Linked DNA regions of Drosophila melanogaster. Changing the gene in region 1 together with any one later gene gives a genetic interaction. Each region holds a gene or a part of one and is shown in the gene's direction. Other genes may lie near its edges.

The links.
Region 2: of hb (region 1) and pdm2, changing one suppresses a phenotype caused by changing the other (phenotypic suppression), as found in Drosophila melanogaster (one study listed by BioGRID).
Region 3: of hb (region 1) and ftz, changing one enhances a phenotype caused by changing the other (phenotypic enhancement), as found in Drosophila melanogaster (one study listed by BioGRID).
Region 4: of hb (region 1) and kni, changing one suppresses a phenotype caused by changing the other (phenotypic suppression), as found in Drosophila melanogaster (one study listed by BioGRID).

What each region holds. Positions count from the first base shown.
Region 1 is NT_033777.3:8,691,573-8,699,933, reverse strand, and holds the start of hb (hunchback), read left to right. Parts: upstream 1-2,111; 5' UTR 2,112-2,608; intron 2,609-5,333; exon of another isoform or gene 5,334-5,478; intron 5,479-5,761; 5' UTR 5,762-5,779; coding exon 5,780-8,056; 3' UTR 8,057-8,361. UniProt on the Drosophila melanogaster protein: Gap class segmentation protein that controls development of head structures.
Region 2 is NT_033779.5:12,655,333-12,660,294, forward strand, and holds the start of pdm2 (POU domain protein 2), read left to right. Parts: upstream 1-1,832; 5' UTR 1,833-2,741; intron 2,742-4,919; 5' UTR 4,920-4,962. UniProt on the Drosophila melanogaster protein: DNA-binding regulatory protein implicated in early development. Involved in neuronal cell fate decision. May act as an octamer-dependent activator of transcription.
Region 3 is NT_033777.3:6,862,338-6,867,024, forward strand, and holds ftz (fushi tarazu), read left to right. Parts: upstream 1-1,986; 5' UTR 1,987-2,056; coding exon 2,057-2,804; intron 2,805-2,951; coding exon 2,952-3,436; 3' UTR 3,437-3,907; downstream 3,908-4,687. UniProt on the Drosophila melanogaster protein: May play a role in determining neuronal identity, may be directly involved in specifying identity of individual neurons. Required during embryogenesis for the process of body segmentation.
Region 4 is NT_037436.4:20,691,700-20,696,750, reverse strand, and holds kni (knirps), read left to right. Parts: upstream 1-2,194; 5' UTR 2,195-2,294; coding exon 2,295-2,309; intron 2,310-2,410; coding exon 2,411-2,488; intron 2,489-2,703; coding exon 2,704-3,915; 3' UTR 3,916-4,421; downstream 4,422-5,051. UniProt on the Drosophila melanogaster protein: Transcriptional repressor. Binds to multiple sites in the eve stripe 3 enhancer element. Plays an essential role in the segmentation process both by refining the expression patterns of gap genes and by establishing pair-rules stripes of gene expression.

The sequences.
Region 1 (8,361 bases):
TCAAAACACAAAAAAAAGTGAAATCCTAATGAGATACTCCCTCCAGGGGCGAATCGGTCGACCACAAAATCCCAAGCGCTTGGCTGCACATCTTACAGATACATTTGCATATCATTTGGGAGATGCGAAGATCATGAGATAAAGATGTGCGGATCCGCCCTGTTGATCTGCCCAATCTTCCCCTCGAAGGAACTTCTGTTGAGACAGCCGCAGGCCAAAGGTTAAGGATAAGGATCATTTGCATGCGTGGCATGGACTTTCGGCAATTAGACGATCATGATCATCAGCATGTTTGTGTTTGTCCCGATCACCGGATAGGTATATCGCAGCTCATCAATTAAAAGGTCAAGCGTGACGGTCCTTGGGACTATTTGTTATGTCCTTAACTTCAACTTTACATAACTTTCCAAACGTAACTGGGTAGGATCCACACAGCACCCGCCCGCCTAAGCAACGCTAATCGGGCTGATCAGCGAACGCTAATCGCTCGGGACTAACTGGATCCTCCGGATCAGCGGCGCTGATCCTGCGTGATCCTGCGTACTGCGTAATGTTGGATTATGTCCTGTGCAGAAGTACGGCCAACTTTTAAATCGCTTTTAAATCCACATCACTCTAGTTCCAGTCGCACTTCTTCGGATGCGCGGATTAATGAACTGGGCGGGCCGATCAGGTAGCTTTGCGTCCTTTAATCCTTTCTTCGCTAAGTCCGGTTGCAGTTCGTATTCGTAATCCGGTTTGCCATGTCAACGTCAATGGCAGGTCTACCTCCGGTACTACCTGTTCCCGAGACGTCCTTTTGACACATATATTCCTCTGGATATGTGAGAGCAACTTGTATAATTTGCATTCCGGCGGCGATTTGTTTGCTCTGTTGTTTTGTAAATATTGCTTTTACATTTTCCCCACCCCCTCTGCCAACGCCCTAATTTCTCCCCGTTCCACTTTAGTTTTAGCCAAAATATTCGACATAAACAGGAGATTTTAGCCCAAATATTCCACATAAACAGGAGATTGAATAAAATAGCTGGAGGCACATTAATTCCGAACTTAATTATGAATTTGCATGTATGTTTTCTTTAGAAAAACTCTGATCCATACAAATAATAAGTTATCCTTTTGTATTGTATAGAGAAAAAAAGGTTTTTACCAATGAACTATGAATAATGAATAATAATAATAGTTTTTTTTTTTAGTCCAAAATTTGTCATTAAACCTAGTTAGAACAATCGCTCCTAATTTATCATTCTAAAAGCGAACATTCCGCTTGGGAAAAAAATTGGTCTAAACCGAATGATACTATTAATGATATGCATTTATTGCTAACCATAATCCTTGTCAAGCTAACAATGATACATTTTCCGAAATTAGCTTAAAAAGGTGGAATACACCCAATATGCACAAACTACCTTAAGGAGATTTGGAATTTCGAATGCTAATTGTGGCAAAGCTTTGCCCAAATTAAGTTAACACGCACAGCAACAGGAAAATGTGTTAAAGCAACAAGGAATCTCCTCGGCCCAAACTTCCATCGTCCCAATTGCAGTTGGCTAAGTTGTTAATGTGTCTGGGCTTAAAGTTGCCCAAAAAACAATTGGCGAAGGCCCCCCATCTTCCTCCATTTCCGCTCTCTCACTTTTGGGCCAGAAATCAATAATCAATAGTGAAGCGGAGATGCCAAAAAACGGCAAAGAGCCAAAAAGGCAGCTGCATTCGGCCAAAATGCAGCGCCAGAAAATGCAAAAGGATAAAATGAGCGAGTCAGAGCGAGAGAGTGGGTGAGTGAGTGAAAGAGCGAACGCCACGAAGGGGATGCTGTTTAGTTATTGCTTTTGGGGATGGGGAAAGTCACTCAGATTTACAGCTAGCATCCGTATCCGTTTTGAGTGAGTTTCGTCGTTACGTTGTTGATGCTCTCCGGCTGCTCTCTCATTTCGATTTCTGCTTCTCCGTGTAACGGCTCTCGTGCGCCTTTGTGTTGTTGCACTTCTGGCATTTGTTTTTGCTTTGCAATTGAGATTTTAGATTTGAGTTCTTTTTTGGCGAGTGCACTGTTGTGAGGAGCAGTGAGGAGATTTTCAGCTATTAGAAGAGCCCGCTGAGCGTGAGTTTGGTCAGTTGTGCTCCGAGTCCCGAAAACGAAAGTCGCCAGCATTGACAGGCAGCCACTGAAATACAAAAATAACCAAACATCCAAAGGACGAAACGTAACTGCTATCAAAACAAATATTGCCATTAAATACAATTAAACTTCGTGCTTGTGCTAAAAGATAACCAATTGCAAAAAGACTTTTGTCCCGAAAACTTATTTTTTGGCAAAGACCACATCCCGCACATGCGCGAATTCCGCGAAAAAGAAAGCACAAAAGCAAGCTAAAAAGCGAGGCCCAAAAAATAGACAAAAACGAAGAGCAAGGAGCCCCCACATCGCCGCTCCCCCTCGCACGCACTGTGCGTGTTGGTCTAACGGTAACCGTGCCGCGGTCAAGCGAGAGAGTGGGAAAGAGAGAGTCCGCGAGCGAAAAGCGAAAACTTACGTGCTCCTGCTCCTGCTCCCGGTTCCCGTTTCCAAATTCTCCCGCAGAATTGCACTTGGACTGTCCGCAAGGTAAGTAACTGGGCGTACCATCCAATATCCTAGTTATACACTGCATTCGACCTCCAATAAATCGTAAAAAACACATGGAGGTAGAAATTCGCAAAAGCTTTCCGCGGATAAACAAATAAACAAGAATTACAAATCGCTTTTGCGGGAGCAAATGCCAAAATGTTGGGGTATCCAGAATATACACAGTTTTTGTGAGGATTTACATACGCCCTGTAAATTTTAATTTAGTTCTCAATTGATACGAAATCTGTTTTTTTTTATAGAATATATTCGATATATAGTTGTTTAATTATAATTCATCATGTGATATACTTTCAAAAGAAACAGATTTAAATAGTTCGTTTATATGCTATTATGCACTATGCTTAATGTATTTTACTTTATTAATTCATGCTAATCTGATGACTGATAACCAATTTGCTTATTCTATGTCATAATCACCTTTAATCCCAAGTACTCAACTTTCTTCTAGTTCTGCACATTTTCTTGTTCTCTTCTTGTTGTTTGTAATCGAGTGCTTCTTTTTCTGTCTAACCTTAGGAACACAAACAAGAGATCTCACACACATGCACACACACAACCACACAGAGTGGTAAATCATTGCTAAAAATGCAAATGGCAAAAATTCTAAAACAATATTTTAAAATCTGTCTGGCTTTTGGCCGATCTTCGGGTGAACTTGTTTTTTGCCCGCTCTGTCTGTTTTTGCCTAGAACTGCAGCGTATATCCAACCCCCAACCGACCCCCCCCCCTCCTCATTTGCTCCTCCTAAGCAACGCCCCTGGCCACGCCCCCCTCTACGCCTGACAGCTAATTTTATTTGTTTACATGTCGACTTTCATGTTGTTTTTTTTTCGCCTTCCTGCCCCCCAAATAACCCCTTCAATTTTTAGCATTTCTTTTCGCTCTTCTTTCGGCAAATGCATTTTCGACTTTTCTTTTTTAATAATTTAAATTTAGACATCGAACTATAATTCAAAGTCAACGTGGCAATTTTTTAATGGCAAATAGTTCGGCACTTGCCAAAATGCATTTCAAATATAATGAATACACCTATGTGACGCTCGCAGGCTTTGTTTTTTTTTTTTGTTTAGGATGATGATGGGAATCATTATTGCACGATCTTTTGCAGAATTGATTGTCATCCGACAGTTTTAATGTTTGCCGACAAAAAGAACTGAGCGCATTTCAAACAAATGGGGCTTTGTTAGGCGCATAAAAATAAATATGCACATATTATACGGGATATATTTATAAACCGCAAATGACATTGAATCACTTCAGTCAGCAGCAGCAGTGCAGTTTTCCCTAAACGAATGCAGCTCCAAAAAACAACAAGTTGTTCTAAGCCAACAACATAACGGTTGCAACTACACATATGTATACGCATACATACATATATTTTATATACGCCTGCAAACAAGCAGGCATATCCTGCTCTTGGCTTGCTTTTTGTACGGATTTTTCAACAAAAACATTTTTTGTGTGGCGCATTTTCTGCGTTTTCGAATTTTTCCATTTTTGCCATTTTCATGATATTTTTAGAGGGTTAAAAAGGGGGCGGTGTTGGGGTGGGGGGGGAGGCACCAAAAACGACTAGCACATGTTTAGTTTACTTTTGCAGTTTCGGTTGCCTGGCTGCACTCGTTGTGGCCACACCACGCCACTAACCCCCACTGCATGGTCCCCATGCCCCCACCCCTGCCCCCTTGGCCCATGCCCCTGCCCGGCGTAATATTAATTTTACACTTGGCCTTTAGTTTGGCTTTGTTGCTGTTGTTGGGCATGGCACAAAAAAGCCCAGACGAAAGGCGAAAATTCTCTTTGTTTCATAGTGCGCACACACACTAACACACTTGCCGAGCAATTAATTTTGGCTTTCTTTAAAAATATCCACAAAAGCGAATTTAAATAAATATGCTAAGCTTCATTTTGTGTGGTGCACTTTCTGTTTCCTGAACCATCAATTATGCCTAAGTATTGTAGATATTTTAGCTGCCAGATAGCACAGCACCATCCTCCCATAATAATATTCCGTAAATGCCCCTTTTTCCCGTTTTGCGTTTTTAATAATATTTACTTGAAAGCACAAACAATTAGCCAAAAATGCAGCAACTGCACAATTTTTCAGTGTGAAATTGGAAATGGAAAAAATATAGGCAACAAGCAATTTTAATGCGAGAATTATTAGAAAAACTACGCAAATCAAAGTGAAATGTCTGGCGGAAAATTGTTGTCAGGAAAATGTTTTTCAAATGGGTGTGTAATAATTATACTGCACATATTATGCATATAGTTTAGTTGGTCCTTAGAGTTTTCCCGCAGGTGTAAGCAGTTCTGATCCGTTAATTTAGTTAAGTCCCGCAATCCTTTTTACTTTTTATTATTAACTACGAAACTGCCCACGCTAGCTGCCTACTCCTGCTGTCGACTCCTGACCAACGTAATCCCCATAGAAAACCGGTGGAAAATTCGCAGCTCGCTGCTAAGCTGGCCATCCGCTAAGCTCCCGGATCATCCAAATCCAAGTGCGCATAATTTTTTGTTTCTGCTCTAATCCAGAATGGATCAAGAGCGCAATCCTCAATCCGCGATCCGTGATCCTCGATTCCCGACCGATCCGCGACCTGTACCTGACTTCCCGTCACCTCTGCCCATCTAATCCCTTGACGCGTGCATCCGTCTACCTGAGCGATATATAAACTAATGCCTGTTGCAATTGTTCAGTCAGTCACGAGTTTGTTACCACTGCGACAACACAACAGAAGCAGCACCAATAATATACTTGCAAATCCTTACGAAAATCCCGACAAATTTGGAATATACTTCGATACAATCGCAATCATACGCACTGAGCGGCCACGAAACGGTAGGATATTGTTAGCCATTACCAAGTGTCTCCATTTTGAACACAAAATCACTCAAATCGCCTTCAGGGGGTGGGTGCCGCCCAGCCACCCCTGACGTATTTTTTGTTAGGGGTGGTGCCGCAAGCACACCAAAAAAAGAGAAAAAAAAAATAAAAGCGAGGAAAAATAAAATGAAAAACAAGCGGAAAAAAAGAGGAAAAAACTCGACGCAGGCGCAGTGCATGAATGAATAAATGAATATGCCCACTAACCCCACTCTCTCTGTTTTCTTATCCATTACAGCCGTCTAGAGCCGCCAAGATGCAGAACTGGGAGACGACAGCCACGACCAACTACGAGCAGCACAACGCCTGGTACAACAGCATGTTCGCGGCAAATATCAAACAGGAGCCAGGTCATCATCTCGACGGGAATAGCGTGGCCAGCAGTCCGCGCCAATCGCCCATTCCCTCGACCAATCACCTGGAACAGTTCCTCAAGCAGCAGCAGCAGCAGCTTCAGCAGCAACCCATGGATACCCTGTGCGCCATGACCCCATCACCCAGCCAAAACGATCAAAACAGCCTGCAGCATTACGATGCTAACTTGCAGCAACAGTTGCTGCAGCAACAGCAGTACCAGCAGCATTTCCAGGCAGCCCAGCAGCAACATCATCACCATCACCATCTGATGGGTGGATTCAATCCGCTGACGCCACCTGGTCTGCCCAATCCCATGCAGCACTTCTATGGCGGCAATCTGCGACCCAGTCCGCAGCCCACGCCCACATCTGCCTCCACAATTGCGCCCGTTGCAGTTGCCACTGGCAGCAGCGAGAAGTTGCAGGCACTAACACCACCCATGGATGTCACACCGCCTAAGTCGCCGGCCAAGTCGAGTCAGTCGAATATTGAGCCGGAGAAGGAGCACGATCAGATGTCGAACTCCAGCGAGGACATGAAGTACATGGCCGAGTCCGAGGACGATGATACCAACATCCGGATGCCCATCTACAATTCGCACGGCAAGATGAAGAACTACAAGTGCAAGACCTGCGGCGTGGTGGCCATCACCAAGGTGGACTTCTGGGCGCACACCCGCACCCACATGAAACCAGACAAGATCCTGCAGTGCCCGAAGTGCCCGTTCGTCACCGAGTTCAAGCACCACTTGGAGTACCATATCCGGAAGCACAAGAACCAAAAGCCCTTCCAGTGCGACAAATGCAGCTACACGTGTGTCAACAAATCCATGCTAAACTCGCACCGCAAGTCGCACAGTTCTGTGTATCAGTACCGTTGTGCGGATTGTGATTACGCCACCAAGTATTGCCACAGCTTCAAGCTGCATCTGCGCAAGTATGGTCACAAGCCCGGCATGGTTTTGGACGAGGATGGCACCCCGAATCCCTCGTTGGTCATCGATGTTTACGGCACGCGTCGTGGTCCGAAGAGCAAGAATGGTGGACCGATTGCCAGTGGAGGAAGTGGCAGCGGCAGCCGGAAGTCAAATGTTGCAGCTGTCGCTCCGCAGCAACAGCAATCTCAGCCAGCTCAGCCAGTCGCCACATCTCAGCTGAGTGCCGCCCTGCAAGGATTCCCTCTGGTTCAAGGCAACTCCGCTCCTCCGGCGGCATCTCCAGTGCTCCCGCTGCCCGCCTCTCCTGCCAAGAGTGTGGCCAGTGTGGAACAGACGCCCAGCTTGCCCAGTCCAGCCAATCTTCTGCCTCCTCTGGCCAGCCTTCTGCAGCAGAACCGCAACATGGCCTTCTTCCCCTACTGGAACCTCAATCTCCAGATGCTGGCCGCCCAACAACAGGCCGCTGTCTTGGCCCAATTGTCGCCAAGAATGCGAGAGCAACTGCAGCAACAGAACCAGCAGCAGAGCGACAATGAGGAGGAGGAGCAGGACGATGAGTACGAGCGTAAGTCAGTGGACTCTGCCATGGATCTGTCCCAAGGAACGCCAGTGAAGGAGGATGAGCAGCAGCAACAACCGCAGCAGCCGCTGGCCATGAATCTCAAGGTGGAGGAGGAGGCCACGCCTCTGATGAGCAGCTCGAATGCCTCGAGACGCAAGGGACGCGTCCTCAAGCTGGACACCCTGTTACAACTGCGATCGGAGGCCATGACATCTCCCGAGCAACTGAAAGTACCCAGCACACCCATGCCAACTGCATCCTCGCCCATTGCCGGACGCAAACCCATGCCCGAGGAGCACTGCTCGGGCACCAGTTCGGCAGATGAGTCGATGGAGACGGCCCATGTGCCGCAGGCCAATACCAGTGCCAGTTCGACGGCGTCCAGCTCGGGGAACAGCTCCAATGCCAGCAGCAATAGCAACGGCAACAGCAGCAGCAATTCCAGCAGCAATGGAACCACCTCAGCGGTTGCAGCTCCTCCATCCGGAACTCCGGCGGCGGCGGGTGCCATCTACGAGTGCAAGTACTGTGATATCTTCTTCAAGGACGCCGTGCTCTACACCATTCACATGGGCTACCACAGCTGCGACGATGTGTTCAAGTGCAACATGTGCGGCGAGAAGTGCGACGGACCCGTCGGCCTCTTCGTTCACATGGCCAGGAATGCTCACTCCTAAGTTCCCCATCACCATCACCTTGTTATTATTATTTATCACTATTATCATATAATCGTTGTCCAGAATTGTATATATTCGTAGCATAAGTTTTCCAAACATTATTTTGTTGTCGAAAATTGTACATAAGCCAATTAAGCCGCTAATTCTAGACCTAAGTTTATCTAACTATCCTAACTGTATTGAACTGTAGCCACCTTTCAATCTGTCTCCTATACACTCTTGTATTTTCGAAATCGACTAAAAACCCTGAAAACGGTTTAAAAACTATCATAAATGCATGGAGAAACATAAGCCTAAGTTAAATC
Region 2 (4,962 bases), on another chromosome or scaffold:
TCATAACTATCTTTTGATTACCAAATAGTTACTCCGTGAATAGTTGGGTCATACTCTTCAGAACCTACCCCCACAAACTAAACCATTTTCAGACGAAACCCATCGATTAGTTGGATTTAAGCATCTCGAAACAGCGACAACTTAAATGCTTACAAAACAAGAATAGTGGAAAAGAGGATGTAAAGGAGGCTGCAGAGGAACCAAAACACAAGCAGACGGGCAGACAAGTGAATAGAAGTGACAAACCAAAAATAAAAGGGCCAAGAAGGGAATTTCCTCGGCGCTAATCAATGAAATTAAAGCTGCGGCCAAGGCGAAATATCTTTAAGGACTCACTACTGAGGGGGGGCGGCATGGGGGAGTGGAACATATAGAATAGTGAGCGAGCCAAGCTACTGCCAACTTTAATGAACGGAAATTAGCAGTCAAAAGGTAAAAGCCCTCTCGCTCTCTTTTTTTCACCCGCAGCATCTGGACGCCGCGGCGAATTCGCGCACATGCACACACAATGGCCAACGGCGAAATGGAGAGAGCTCCCCACGAAGAGCGAGCATGCGCCGCAAGAGAGCGCCAAAGCTCCATGCCGATTGGCTGCCGGCTGCCCACTTTGGGTGAGTGTGTTTGTGCGGGAGAGAGCGCGCTTGTTGGATATATTTCCCCAAGATTTTCTACCTCTCCCTCCGCACTTTCTCTCTCTTGCGTTCTCTTTCTGTTCAGGCATAAACAAACCATTTTGAATAAAATCAACAGCAACAACAGCGGCAACAACTACGTTGTTGCAACAATGTGGATCCCAAGTTGCCGAGAAAAATCAACTGATTCTACACTTAGAAAAGTTTTATATATTGGTTATAATACAATTTCATTAAAAGCCTATTAACATTATAAATTTACTTATAATTGTAAAAGAAATGTATTTAAAATACGCTTAGAACCTTTATATATAAATGTATAAATTATAATATATTCTATTTAGAGTAACAATAAAAACCAAATTAAGTTATACCAAGACGTGTTTGTGAATATTTGTTAAGATAAAATATAGAATTTAAGGTTTATTTCTGTTAAATATTAAAATGGTACAATAGAAAATGACTGGAATATATATTATATAATTTTTGTAAGTGTATGGTTACTACAGTTGCTTGTGGTGCTTCTTCTTCCATTTATTCAGCTAGTACTGCTCTTCTTCTAGATGCTTTGGCCTGGTCAAGTTGCATTCAATTGCAGTTTTTCAGTTGCCACTCCGTTGGCCGATTGTCGGTTGTCGTCCTCGCGACTTTTCTTGTTTATTTTTTCAACTAGCTGTGTGTGCGTGACAGCAACAACAATAATCTGAGGACGCCTCTTGTAATTATTTTAATTTATGCGTTTATCGCTTTTTGCCTTTTGCCGCCGTTCAGCGGATTCTGTTGGCTATCTGTCTGCATTTGGTTCGTTTTTTGCCTTGACATTCGCATTTTGACAGCACGGCGAATAATTCTCGGTTCTGCCATCATTGCAATGTCAATTTTTTTCATTTTTCATTCGCTGATATTCCGACTTGTCCACGGGGCGTATGCGTAACGCGAGTTGTGTTGTGATTTCTGGCAAGTGCAATGCCGTCGGAACATTGATTTTGAAAGGAATTAAATCTGTTTTGCCCATAAAATCATCTGCTTTAGTATTATATGTTTTATTTTATAAAACTTATTATTTTTATAAAAGAAAGAAAACGGTTTGGTATATAAGCGGCCATAAAAAAATCAAAAAATCTTGTATCTTGTGCCGAATAAATAATGAATCATATGATGAGAAACAGTACTTGAATCAATAAGAATTTTAATATATTTTATTATATTTTGCAAACTGAATTACTTGTATACCCTTATTCGGTTACTCGTATGAGCCTGACTCCTCTTCTCCTTCTCAATTCCCTTCAAGAGGAAATTTTCATGCCGCTCTAAACTACAAATCAACTTAGGAGCCCCCATATTATTTCTTCCCTCAACGAACAGAAGCAGCGGCAGTCAATACATACATAATTCGGAATCCGATAAGAGCCACCCACCCATATATACATATATAGAACACTCACACACACATATGCAGTACTATTTTCCACCCACACAATACAAGCTTTTCATTTTAAAACCTCCTGTAAAAAAAAAGAAGCAAGAGAAAGAAAAACGAAGTCAAACGCCCCAAAACACCCACGCACCACCCCCTCCACCTGTTTTATGGCTCCCTTTCCCCACCCCCACAGACACACACACACACACAGAGGCACATCGCAAACAGACCAATACACTGGCACACTCACACTCACTCACTCTCTCCAACATCTTCTATAAAAAAAAAGTATTTTTTGTACTCGCTTGACATTTTGTGGATACGTCGGACGTCGTCGGAAGTCGTCGCGAACTTTGCTTCTTTTTGCTCTTTCTCTTTTCTTTAGTCTGCTTTTTTTTCACTTTTTACTTTTTGCCCATATCTCCTTGCGCGTTTTTTTAAGTCAGTCGTTTGTCGGAAGTCAATCAAAAAGCGTGTCTCGGAGAATTGTCCCAAAAGACAGAGATCACCTCACCTCACCTCGACGGCCCACAGAAAATGCAGAAAGGGCGTGAAGCTGTCGCCATTCTCGTTGGCAATTACAATTTATAAAAGTGTGGCAAAGTAAACAATTAAATTATAATTCGTGACAGCAGGCGAAAACCAGTAGAGGAAAAACCAGTAAGGAGGTGCGCCATCTTCCAGCCCAAGTGAGTTTAACTCTTTTTTTTCTTTTGTACCCACTGAGTGTGTCAAGGAGCTTGTCTTGTAACGCCCACACTCAATGCGATCGATGGATCAGCCAGATGGATGATACAGATGCCGCAAGAGAGAGAGAGAGGGCAGAACTGTTTCTTCTGGCCTGTCAGATTCCTAATGAGCTTTCCCAAGTGTCTGCGCGTATTTCAGCGTCCTTAATTGGCCATATGTGTTTGAGGGCCAACAAGTGTCCCGATATGGCTGACTATGGTAGTTGGACGGGCGAACTGAATCCATCATAGAGATCTTGGTCGGGCTTTAGCTAATCATAACAAAATTGTGACCATGTTCTGGTCAAATCTTTAACAATGGAAAATCTTAAGGTTAGATCAAATTAAGATGCAAAATGTATTAATAACAAGCAATTATCTTCAAAATGAGGCAATATATATATATATATATTGAATATAGTATTTGATTTAAAGGATAGTTTAATAACTTTTTCTAAATTTGTTCCATTCCATATATTTTTCATAAACCTTCTGTGATTTGTGTACCCTATCTTAGATGTGCCACATATATATTTTTATGGGTTTTTTACAATTCCACTTCTGGCAATGATTCGATCGATAATCACGACAAACAATTTCTCAACCGAAAGTCAGGCAAATCACATCATCGAACTAAGTTCCCTCGTATCTTTACAACCGAACCGTGTACACCCAATAGAAAATTATGAAAACACAAATTCCAAATTGAAGACAAACACAATGGCAATGTTCGGTATTATATGATCGGCGATACGTTTCCAATTGGAGTAAGCAATTGTGTTTAATTTTAAAACAAGATGAAGTTAAACAAAAATAGCGAAAGCCCCGATATTGTCGGCCCAATAAGGAATTACCGTGCCGATTGGGAATTATTGAAAGTAGCACCGAGGAATAAGTGACTGCATTTAGTCGGCGTTCGCTTTGATCATACCGGCAGATATATCGATTCCTGGCAATTGGTTGCTGACATGCAAAGAACATAATTTACCGACTGGCAAAATTGATAAACAATCTTCGTGTGGCACTTTGGTTGCGGCCAATTTGCCGTCGATACTGACAACTCAATTGATTTGTTTACAAGTGCCATTAATGTTAGTTGCCCCGACCCGCCTCTTCGTGGCTCATATGTACATAAACCCGTTTGGTAATGTATGTAAATAACCATTTCCATAAACGCACTTGCACTTTTCAGCACCGTATCTTATCTGGCCAAGTTGACTTGTTGTTCGGGGCATTTGATCGTTGCGCTTGTAGTTTAATTTCCCATTTCTATTTCCTTTGATTTCATCGCCTTTTGCCGTGATTTTTCGACACCCACCCACCCACTCCTTATCTCATTTGACTTCAATTTGTTTTCAATTTACAACAATTTCGTTTCAAACCACATTTGGTAAATGTGCCCATTTTCATTCTCCCATTTTTTGTTTGCATAATAATACAAAGTTTAGGTTTTAGTGCCTTTTATGGTGTCTACTGCTGTAAAGTTGTATACAACCACTTTTCACTTGTGGGAGCTGATTCGACAGGCCATGGGAAAATTTAGAGAAATGTTTGGACTGCTCAATAAACGAATTTAAAAGAGCAAACATTTAAACTATATAAATTGCGATATGTACTTTTATGACATGTTTACTTTCGAGTGGTATGGAATTTCTGTAATTATTTAACTGAATGATATAGTTTCTCACATATTAACATTTTCATTCAATGCTAGGTACAGTAAAACTTCTAATCAGTAACTTACTTTACATTTACCTTTTAGAAGAGAATATTAACTTTTAAACTTTTACCCTTATATATTTTTTTATCAAAATACAAACTTGTAATCGCAGAATGGGCTGACAATGCAATATACTCATGAGCCAGTTAATAAACTAAACTAATTAATCTCAGTTATAAGGTATACAAACATCCGTTCGATTTCAAACAAATCCACTGTTTCCACCTGTAACGTGAAAAGTCACGTGTACAGGAATGTGGATGGGTCAGTTATTTTAAGGGAAAAATCAATTACTTCCGCTATCGAGTCGTAAAGATCACAGCGCTCTATGTATTTAATAACAGCTTTTTAAAGTGCAGTTAACAGCAAATTAGGCTTTCAGCCGAAGAAGACACTTTTAATTATCAACCCATTTGCAGGCAGCAAAGGAGGCAGAAGGAGGAATACATATCGCCAGCGGTC
Region 3 (4,687 bases), 1.8 Mb from region 1:
AGTTAGTTTAAAATCTTAGGCCATGTTCATGTAAAATAATTCAACTAATTAATCTTTTTAAGGTATAATTCAATAAGTATATATCTAAATTCAAAGACCTAGTCAAAAGTAGTAGCCCTCGCCCTTATTTATTGCGTTAAAAAAGGATCCTAACAATATTTAAATAAAATGAGATGAAATTATTTTAGTAAATGATTCGGTATCGAAAGAATTTTATTTTTGGGGAGCTGTTTTTCCTTTCTTTGATTGATAGATATAAACATAAGTTATCGGATGGTTTTATATCCTACTCTACACCCTTATTGTTAAGTTTACTGCAAAACCAGAAAGGAGGCTCACATTCACTGGCAATATAGCAATCACAGGACATCGGAGAGATGCGAACTGCAGTCTCTTCTGTCAAACTGAAAAACGCCATAAATTTTGTGGAACAATGGAATCTGCCAGAGTATGCGGATGGGGTAAGGGTAGAATTCGCACATGCACACATATGTCAGGAGTATCGATATGTTAGGGGTGTTCAACGGGGGTGGCTAATAAAATTTATCCAGGCCGCGTAAGCCGATCAGAAAGTCATGTAAACACAAAAGTGGCTGAGAGATGATTGTTTTTTACCAGTCAATTTAGCTGAGCTGATTTCAGGTTATACGCGAACCTAAGATGGAAGTAGATTTTTAGATTACCAGAAATAACCTTCAGTTTCTAAAAGAATGAGAAATAGTAAATCGTGAAGCCTGTGGCATTCTTACCCCTTACTGAAATGAATGTAACAGGTAGAAGGCAGCAATTGCAGTGCTACAAAGTATATATATTCTTGATCCATATAAGTATAAGTATAAGAGCTATAATGTTATAATTAAACATGAAGATCCTACGCTGTGCAAGTTTTGTGCCACAAATTTAACTCAAGATTACCACTCACAAAGGATACATTACCATTTGGCCATTAAAAATTACAGCATCCATAGACAACCTACTTAAAATTTATAAAAACTTGAGGGTTATATCACAGAGTTACCGAAAAAAAGCGTAAAAGCTTTATATTCTCAACAATATTATGCTATTAAAATATTGCTGGTTTTCTGCTGTTATAGAATCATTTTTAAAAGTATAACGTAAAAAATAAAATAAAACTAGTATTCATTTGAAAAATCAGCGGGCATATAATTTATATCATATTTTTAAAATTTAGGCAAAGGATGTTTGCATAAAGTTTTTACTGTTTACTAGTCATTTTGGAAGTGCGTTTGTTGGTTTTTAGGCAAATACCGGGCACAGGAGTGAGTTTGGGAATCGGGAGTTGCGCACTTGCTTGGCCACGAGGGCAAACAAAAAGCGCAAACACGCGACCCTCGGCCACGCGTATTCCTGATCCCAGGGATCGGACGTAATGTTATCCTTTGGCCGCCCAGTGCCACGAAATAAATTCGGAGGGAAAGGGCATCGGGTTCCGGGAACAACTGGCAGCCAGTCTTCGGTGTTTTGCGCGCTGGCAAAAATCCAGAGAAATTTTTAGGGAACCATAAACGGGCCGGGGAAAAAGCCTCTGCCCCGAAGGAACGTTTTCAGCAACAGTTTACAGTTTTTATGTCTTTATGATTATTGCAATTAGAGGGAGATCGGCTGAGAGTCGCGCCCTCTCGCTCTGCGCACCTCATAGGTAGGCACCTCATGGCCGTAATTACTGCAGCACCGTCTCAAGGTCGCCGAGTAGGAGAAGCGCGCGGGCGGATAAATCGCGATGATAATGGGCGCGATGGGTAGGTAATAAGCCGCGCAGCAGGTAGGCACCGTACGGATAAAGTTGCCAGGACCTCGGATAACTTCCCCTCTCCGTGCCTGCAAGGACATTTCGCCGGAGGGGTGGCTGCGAACAGCAGGCGGCAAAGTGTCATGCGCAGGGATATTTATGCGCTATAACGGCGAGCGTGTGCCGAGGGCTCTCTGATTTTGCTATATATGCAGGATCTGCCGCAGGACCAGCTCATTCGCAAACTCACCAGCGTTGCGTGCACATCGCAGAGTTAGAGAAGAAATCTAGCAATACACATCCGATATGGCCACCACAAACAGCCAGAGCCACTACAGCTACGCCGACAACATGAACATGTACAACATGTATCACCCCCACAGCCTGCCGCCCACCTACTACGATAATTCAGGCAGCAATGCCTACTATCAGAACACCTCCAATTATCAGGGCTACTATCCCCAGGAGAGTTACTCGGAGAGCTGCTACTACTACAACAATCAGGAGCAGGTGACCACCCAGACTGTACCGCCCGTGCAACCCACCACCCCGCCGCCCAAGGCCACCAAGCGCAAGGCCGAAGATGATGCTGCTTCCATCATCGCCGCCGTGGAGGAGCGACCCAGCACACTGAGGGCTCTGCTCACCAATCCCGTGAAGAAGCTGAAGTACACCCCCGACTATTTCTACACAACCGTCGAGCAGGTGAAGAAGGCTCCCGCCGTAAGCACCAAGGTCACCGCCAGCCCCGCTCCCAGCTACGACCAAGAGTACGTGACTGTGCCCACGCCCAGCGCCTCCGAGGATGTCGACTACTTGGACGTCTACTCGCCCCAGTCGCAGACGCAGAAGCTGAAGAATGGCGACTTTGCCACCCCTCCGCCAACCACGCCCACCTCTCTGCCGCCCCTCGAAGGCATCAGCACGCCACCCCAATCGCCGGGGGAGAAATCCTCGTCAGCTGTCAGCCAGGAGATCAATCATCGAATTGTGACAGCCCCGAATGGAGCCGGCGATTTCAATTGGTCGCACATCGAGGAGACTTTGGCATCAGGTAGGCATCACACACGATTAACAACCCCTAAAAATACACTTTGAAAATATTGAAAATATGTTTTTGTATACATTTTTGATATTTTCAAACAATACGCAGTTATAAAACTCATTAGCTAACCCATTTTTTCTTTGCTTATGCTTACAGATTGCAAAGACTCGAAACGCACCCGTCAGACGTACACCCGCTACCAGACCCTGGAGCTCGAGAAGGAGTTCCACTTCAATAGATACATCACCCGGCGTCGTCGCATCGATATCGCCAATGCCCTGAGCCTGAGCGAAAGGCAGATCAAGATCTGGTTCCAAAACCGACGCATGAAGTCGAAGAAGGATCGCACGCTGGACAGCTCCCCGGAGCACTGTGGTGCCGGCTACACCGCGATGCTGCCGCCACTGGAGGCCACAAGCACCGCCACCACCGGGGCACCATCGGTGCCAGTGCCCATGTACCACCACCACCAAACCACCGCCGCCTACCCCGCTTACAGCCACAGTCACAGTCATGGTTATGGCCTGCTCAATGATTACCCTCAGCAGCAGACCCACCAGCAGTACGATGCCTACCCGCAGCAGTACCAACATCAGTGCAGCTACCAGCAACATCCACAGGACCTCTACCATCTGTCTTGAGGTCCGGCGATGCTCAGTTACTCTCTTCCCCAGAGCGGAACCGAAAGCCGTACCGCCACGAAACCGAAGCGCACTTCTCTCGACCATTTGTAGGTGACACGCAAATGACACAGCCGAGAACGAAGCTGCGACGCGATGAGTTGCACAGTAGAGGGCGCACTCCCTACGGTGCCCAGGACATTTTGGGCACAAGGACGAGTGCGCAAGTGCAGAAGGCAGAGGCAAAAGAGGCAGCGCAAACAGAAAAGGAGCCTTGCTGCGCGCGGAACCCAGTGGCTGGCCATGATGGGTTCTCAGCGATCGATTAGCTGCGGCCAAACACAAGCCCAAAACACTCAGCTGGGAGTGATAATGGCCAAGAGACTTGGAGACTGACACACATGTTTTTGTACATATAGTAGTTAAGATATTCCTATCATAGAATTCTATTTATTTAAATATACGAGTAAAGTAAATCGATCGAATTTAAACAAATCAAGTTGAACATTCATTTGGCAATTTGTGAAGAAGAGTCTTGGGCATGCTGCAATTTGACTGCTTTAAAATTTTAAATTTATAGGCCGTGGGCCGCGTATGTGGAATACATTTCATATGTATATGTGTTGAAATAAAATTAAATGCCTTTCAATGATAACTACTCAATAAATTCTTAAAATAGTTTGGATCAACGTATGGTATTTGTCTAACTACTTTCACCGAAAACATATCACAAGGCAAAGTTTACCTTCAGCCTATTTTCATACCTTATATATGCATATAATACATATATATGATAAAAATGGAGTTTAGGAGTTAAGGAGTTTAAATTATTTAAGTATAAGCCTAATATTTAATTGTTCGTTGAGAAGCTTAAGAGATCTCTTGGTTTACTTTCTGATGAATTGCACATGGTTGAAGCATTACTTTCGAACTTATACGAAACGCAAACGATTTAATGTTGAGCACGAATCGTACAAATTCGAGCAGCTGCATTTTGTCGCTTCAGTCCCCCTCATCCCTGACCCATTGCTATCTCCCGGATTTTCTATTAAATGCACTCTTTTCGCCAGAGAAAATGTCACATTTTGGTCTGGCTTCGGGGCATATCTACCACCGCATCCCTGCTCCCTTCCTCCCTCCGCCGCTGCACGTTCCTCTATTGAAGTGAGACATTGATTGGTAATTTTTCATTGCACATCCGTGACAGTTATGGGTAACGCAACGCAAAAGGAAAAGCCCGGTGCGGAATCGGATTCGGAATCAGAATCAATA
Region 4 (5,051 bases), on another chromosome or scaffold:
TCTTTGGGTCTGAACAACCCTTTTGGTACAATGCGCGCCCATAAAAGGGTTAAGCACATCGGTTAGCGGCATAAAAGGGTTAAACAGGTAGCTCCTTCTTTCTTTTTGGCTTTGAGCAAACAACAATAAATATTCATAAAAAGAGTTAAGTGCCGCCATAAGGCTCTTTGTTTACACAAAGGAGAAATTATGTTGGAAGTTGACTTTTAAAAGGGTTACAATTAAATTCGATTGATATTTGTATTTTATTGAGTATAATGATGGTGAAGGAGAGGATAAGAAAGTTTTATAATATTTAAGAATAATATAATTTCATGATTTATTTGCGAAATATTACTCTACTAAAAGTGTAATATTAATAAAATTATTAAAATAATTATAATTATATTCTATTCATATTGAACTTGTATGGTTTAAACCTATTTTTGTATGCTATTTTAGAACCAGCTTGCAAATCAACTACTTTAATATGAATCATTCTGAATCCGGGTAATAGCCCGTCTAAATAGTATTTTTTATAACTTTTCGGACGCAATTACATACTCAATAATACTCAACTATCGTTTTTTTGCTATGAATCAATGCAGATCTCTTATTGATTAACTTCTAATTAAAGCGTTTCAATTTATTGCCAAGTCGCGGTTATGCAAATTTTAACACATTTCATGAAATCTTGAGAATCAGTTTGTGAATCACACAGAAAGTGGGAATATTTCCCGCGGAAAAAGGTTTTGAAAATCAAACTAGGTGTTAGGCATACAGGCAACTCTAAATGTACCCAAAAACCGGCGGACTTTGAAAAGAAAACCCCAAGCGAATTGGCCTCCAACCATTTCGATTTCGAGCAGCCAAAACGGCTCCGCCCATGCCAAAAAAATGAGCAGCTGTTAAAAATGAAGTCAATAGCTTAGTCAATGTGGTGTGTGTGTGTGTGTGTGGTGTTCGAGTGAGTGAGAAATCCAGCCGCCCTTAGCACGCGAGTATCTTTAATAAATAAACGAATAACGAATAATATCAGGGCCATGCAAATAGCCTGATTACAGGGAACTCAAAATCGAGAGAGAGAGAGAGACTGAGCGTGAGATCTGAATGAGTGAGTGAGTGTTTTCTATTCATTCAACAACAGAGCGTTAACATTCTGCTAACATTTCGCTCGAGTGGGGTTCGAACTCAATGCGCATGTGTGCGTGCTCGATCGCTCTCTCACTCGATCCGAGTCTTAAAGGTGGTGGTTTCAGCCGTGATTTATCAGAGAGCTGGGGCTGAAAACTGGTAAGTTTGCTTTGGTGTGAGTGCGAGTACATAAGCCAAAGAGTTCGGCCAGTAGGCGAAACACAGAAACGCTTCTTGCCAGTCGAACCTCTCAGCCAGAAATCAGTCGTCAGCTAGTAGCCGAAGTGTCAGTTACACACATCGAGGATTCCCAAACCGCGTTGTTTCGGCGATCAAAAACCATACATCACATCAAATCGTATCCAAAATTATAATCAAAGTGTTGAAAACCTGAATCACTCAGACTGATCGAAAAGTGCTTGCAAACCGAAAACAAAACAAAAAAAAAAAAAATAACAGACACAAACTGCCAAAGTGAGAAAACGTGCAGCAACGATCGCGAATCGCTGCAATTAAAAAGTCGTCATAAACCTAGTGCCCATCCAACAAAAAAAAGCAAAAAGGTAAGTTCTGAGCGAGGGAGACAACATGAGATCAAAGTCAATTCACGGTTCTTGTTTTTGGGTCGCGGCCGTCGGCAAATTTTACGATCCCTTGTGCACTACTTTTATTTTTTACTGTTTCACGCGAAAAACTAACGGCCACATTTCCATCTTTTCCTTATTTTTTTGCGTCCCGAGGCAGCGGGAAAAAAATCACAATTTTCATAAGCCGAATTTTCTATTTTTTGTTTGACTCGGGAAAAATCGGCGTGAGTTTTTATGGCCGAACGTCAAGGTCTGGACTGCTGCTGCATTTTTTTAGGGAACACTATTTTCGCAGCACTCGTAATGACTTCGAATAAAAAAGAAAATCTACCTGAGTTTTATGACTGGACAGCGCGAAAAAAATGAAAATGAACGCATAGGGTTGCATAATCCGGCAGCTTAAGTTTTTTGGCCTGTTGTGATCATAAAAAACGCCCATCCTGTCTAGTTTTTCCCAGTTTCCTATATATATCCTGGCCCGCCTAGAGCTCAGCATCAGTTGCTCAGCAGCATTCCAAGCGAACAGATCATACAGCAGATCCTCACAGCGATCGTGAGAAAAGCATTCAAAATTCCAACAAATATCATTCCAAAATGGTGTTCAACTTGGTTAGTGTCCAGAGCCGTTCGCCTACTTGTGGATTACACATATACCTCTCGACCAGTGGATTAAACCCTTACTAACGCGGGATTTCTTTACAATCTTCCAGATGAACCAGACATGCAAAGTGTGCGGTGAGCCGGCGGCGGGCTTCCATTTTGGCGCCTTCACCTGCGAGGGCTGCAAGGTAAGTTGTGTCTCAAGAAATCCATTGACAAATAAATTAGCAGAACGTAACCCCCCAAGGGGTTAGTTTTAGAAATGTTCGAGGAACAGGCCATCGGCGATTCAAATCGTTGTACCATTGGCCTTAAGTTCTTGAATGAATTTCTGCTCTTCTTTTGCTAATGAGTTGCATACCACATAACTAAGCCACATTCGTCCTTCCCTTCGCCATTGCAGTCCTTCTTTGGCCGCTCTTACAACAACATCAGCACCATCAGCGAGTGCAAGAACGAGGGCAAGTGCATCATCGACAAGAAGAACCGCACCACCTGCAAGGCGTGCCGCTTGAGGAAGTGCTACAACGTGGGCATGTCGAAGGGGGGATCCCGCTACGGACGTCGCTCCAACTGGTTCAAGATCCATTGTCTGCTGCAGGAGCACGAACAGGCCGCCGCAGCGGCGGGCAAGGCGCCTCCATTAGCGGGTGGCGTATCGGTGGGTGGTGCCCCGTCGGCCTCTTCCCCGGTGGGCTCGCCACACACTCCCGGATTTGGGGACATGGCCGCCCATTTGCACCACCATCATCAGCAGCAGCAGCAGCAGCAGGTGCCGCGTCATCCACATATGCCTCTGCTGGGCTATCCCAGCTATCTGTCCGACCCATCCGCCGCCCTGCCCTTCTTCAGCATGATGGGCGGTGTACCGCACCAGTCGCCCTTCCAGCTGCCCCCACACCTCCTCTTCCCAGGCTACCATGCAAGTGCTGCCGCTGCAGCGGCTTCTGCTGCCGATGCCGCTTACCGGCAGGAGATGTACAAGCACCGCCAGAGCGTGGATTCCGTTGAGTCGCAGAACCGCTTTAGTCCCGCCAGCCAGCCACCAGTGGTGCAGCCCACCTCCTCGGCCCGCCAGTCGCCCATCGATGTCTGCCTGGAGGAGGATGTTCACTCCGTGCACAGCCATCAGTCGTCCGCAAGCCTCCTGCATCCCATTGCCATCCGAGCCACGCCAACCACTCCGACTAGCAGCAGCCCGCTGAGTTTTGCGGCCAAGATGCAGAGCTTGTCGCCCGTTTCGGTTTGCTCCATTGGCGGCGAAACCACCAGCGTTGTACCAGTGCATCCTCCCACCGTTTCCGCTCAAGAAGGACCCATGGATCTGAGCATGAAGACCTCGCGGAGCTCCGTGCACAGCTTCAACGACAGCGGCTCCGAGGATCAAGAAGTGGAGGTGGCTCCGCGCCGGAAGTTCTACCAACTGGAGGCCGAGTGCCTGACCACCAGCAGCAGCAGTTCCTCCCACTCCGCCGCCCACTCACCGAACACCACCACCGCCCATGCGGAAGTCAAGCGGCAGAAGCTAGGTGGTGCAGAGGCCACCCACTTCGGTGGCTTCGCGGTGGCCCACAATGCGGCTAGTGCCATGAGGGGAATATTCGTGTGTGTCTAAGTACACGGCGAAAAAACCAAGTGGGAGGAGTCGCCCCAAAAACCCTCGTTGTTTATTTTTTGTTACTTAAAGAAAATGTAAATTTATTCGTGTGCTCGCTCACACTTAGGGAAGTGGAAAGAGATAGGGACAGACAGGTTTTGCTGGAAAGAGACAGCCTGACCAGGTAGTTGCATTGCACTCGCACACATACACCTATATACCACCACACACACACTCACACTCACCTATTGAGCTCGGATCCAAAAATTATTTTTTATGAAAACGTTAAAATTGTAAATATATCTTTGAGCTTGTTTGCAATTGTATTTTAAAGTTAGCCGGCGGAAGAGCCGTAGAAGTAGTAATCATTCCCACCCTCAAATGCTATTGTACATACAAATTGTTAAGTCTAAGAATGATCTTTATTGTCTCTAAGTATTTTATTCTATTATAGTCCTAGTTATGGTATGTCTAAAGATTGGCATTTAGTTTTATACAAAGAAAAATAAAAACTATTAAAAATTAAACTTTTGTCGTTTCCAATGCTTTTCGGTGTATTTCAGAATACACAAATTCATATTTGAAGTTTTTGCTTATGGATAATTGAACTAACTTATTTACAATGTCGTCTTGAAGCTCATTAATTCCACGGCACGTTTACTTCGGTGTTGCTTTTATTGATTTAATTTTAGTTGTGACATCATAGAAAAGTGTATTTAATTACAAAACAAACACTTTAAGAAAATTATTTAAAAATACTCATACAACGTATTCGTTGTACCTTAAAGTTAACGAACTCTTCTGATTTGTTTAAGCACATTATTATGGACTATATGTCTGGTGCAAACTATCTTTCGGATGTATCTGCTGGATGTATCAACGAAGTTTGTCGGCTACCGCACATTCCTATAGGATCAAAGCCAATAAATTATTTACGTATTCAGCTACCGCTCTTGTTTCAAAATCAGTTCTGTTCAAACATGCGAGCATATATCCATATACATATATCTGATCGGCGGTGTCTTTGGCTCGATGTTCGTTAACCACGGGCCAAATGGGCGTGGCCTGTCAATGGCAACACCAAAAAGAGACGGAAAACAAATGCTTTGGCATAAATTCAATCAACATTCGGTTGCAAGTCGATCGGCGATGGC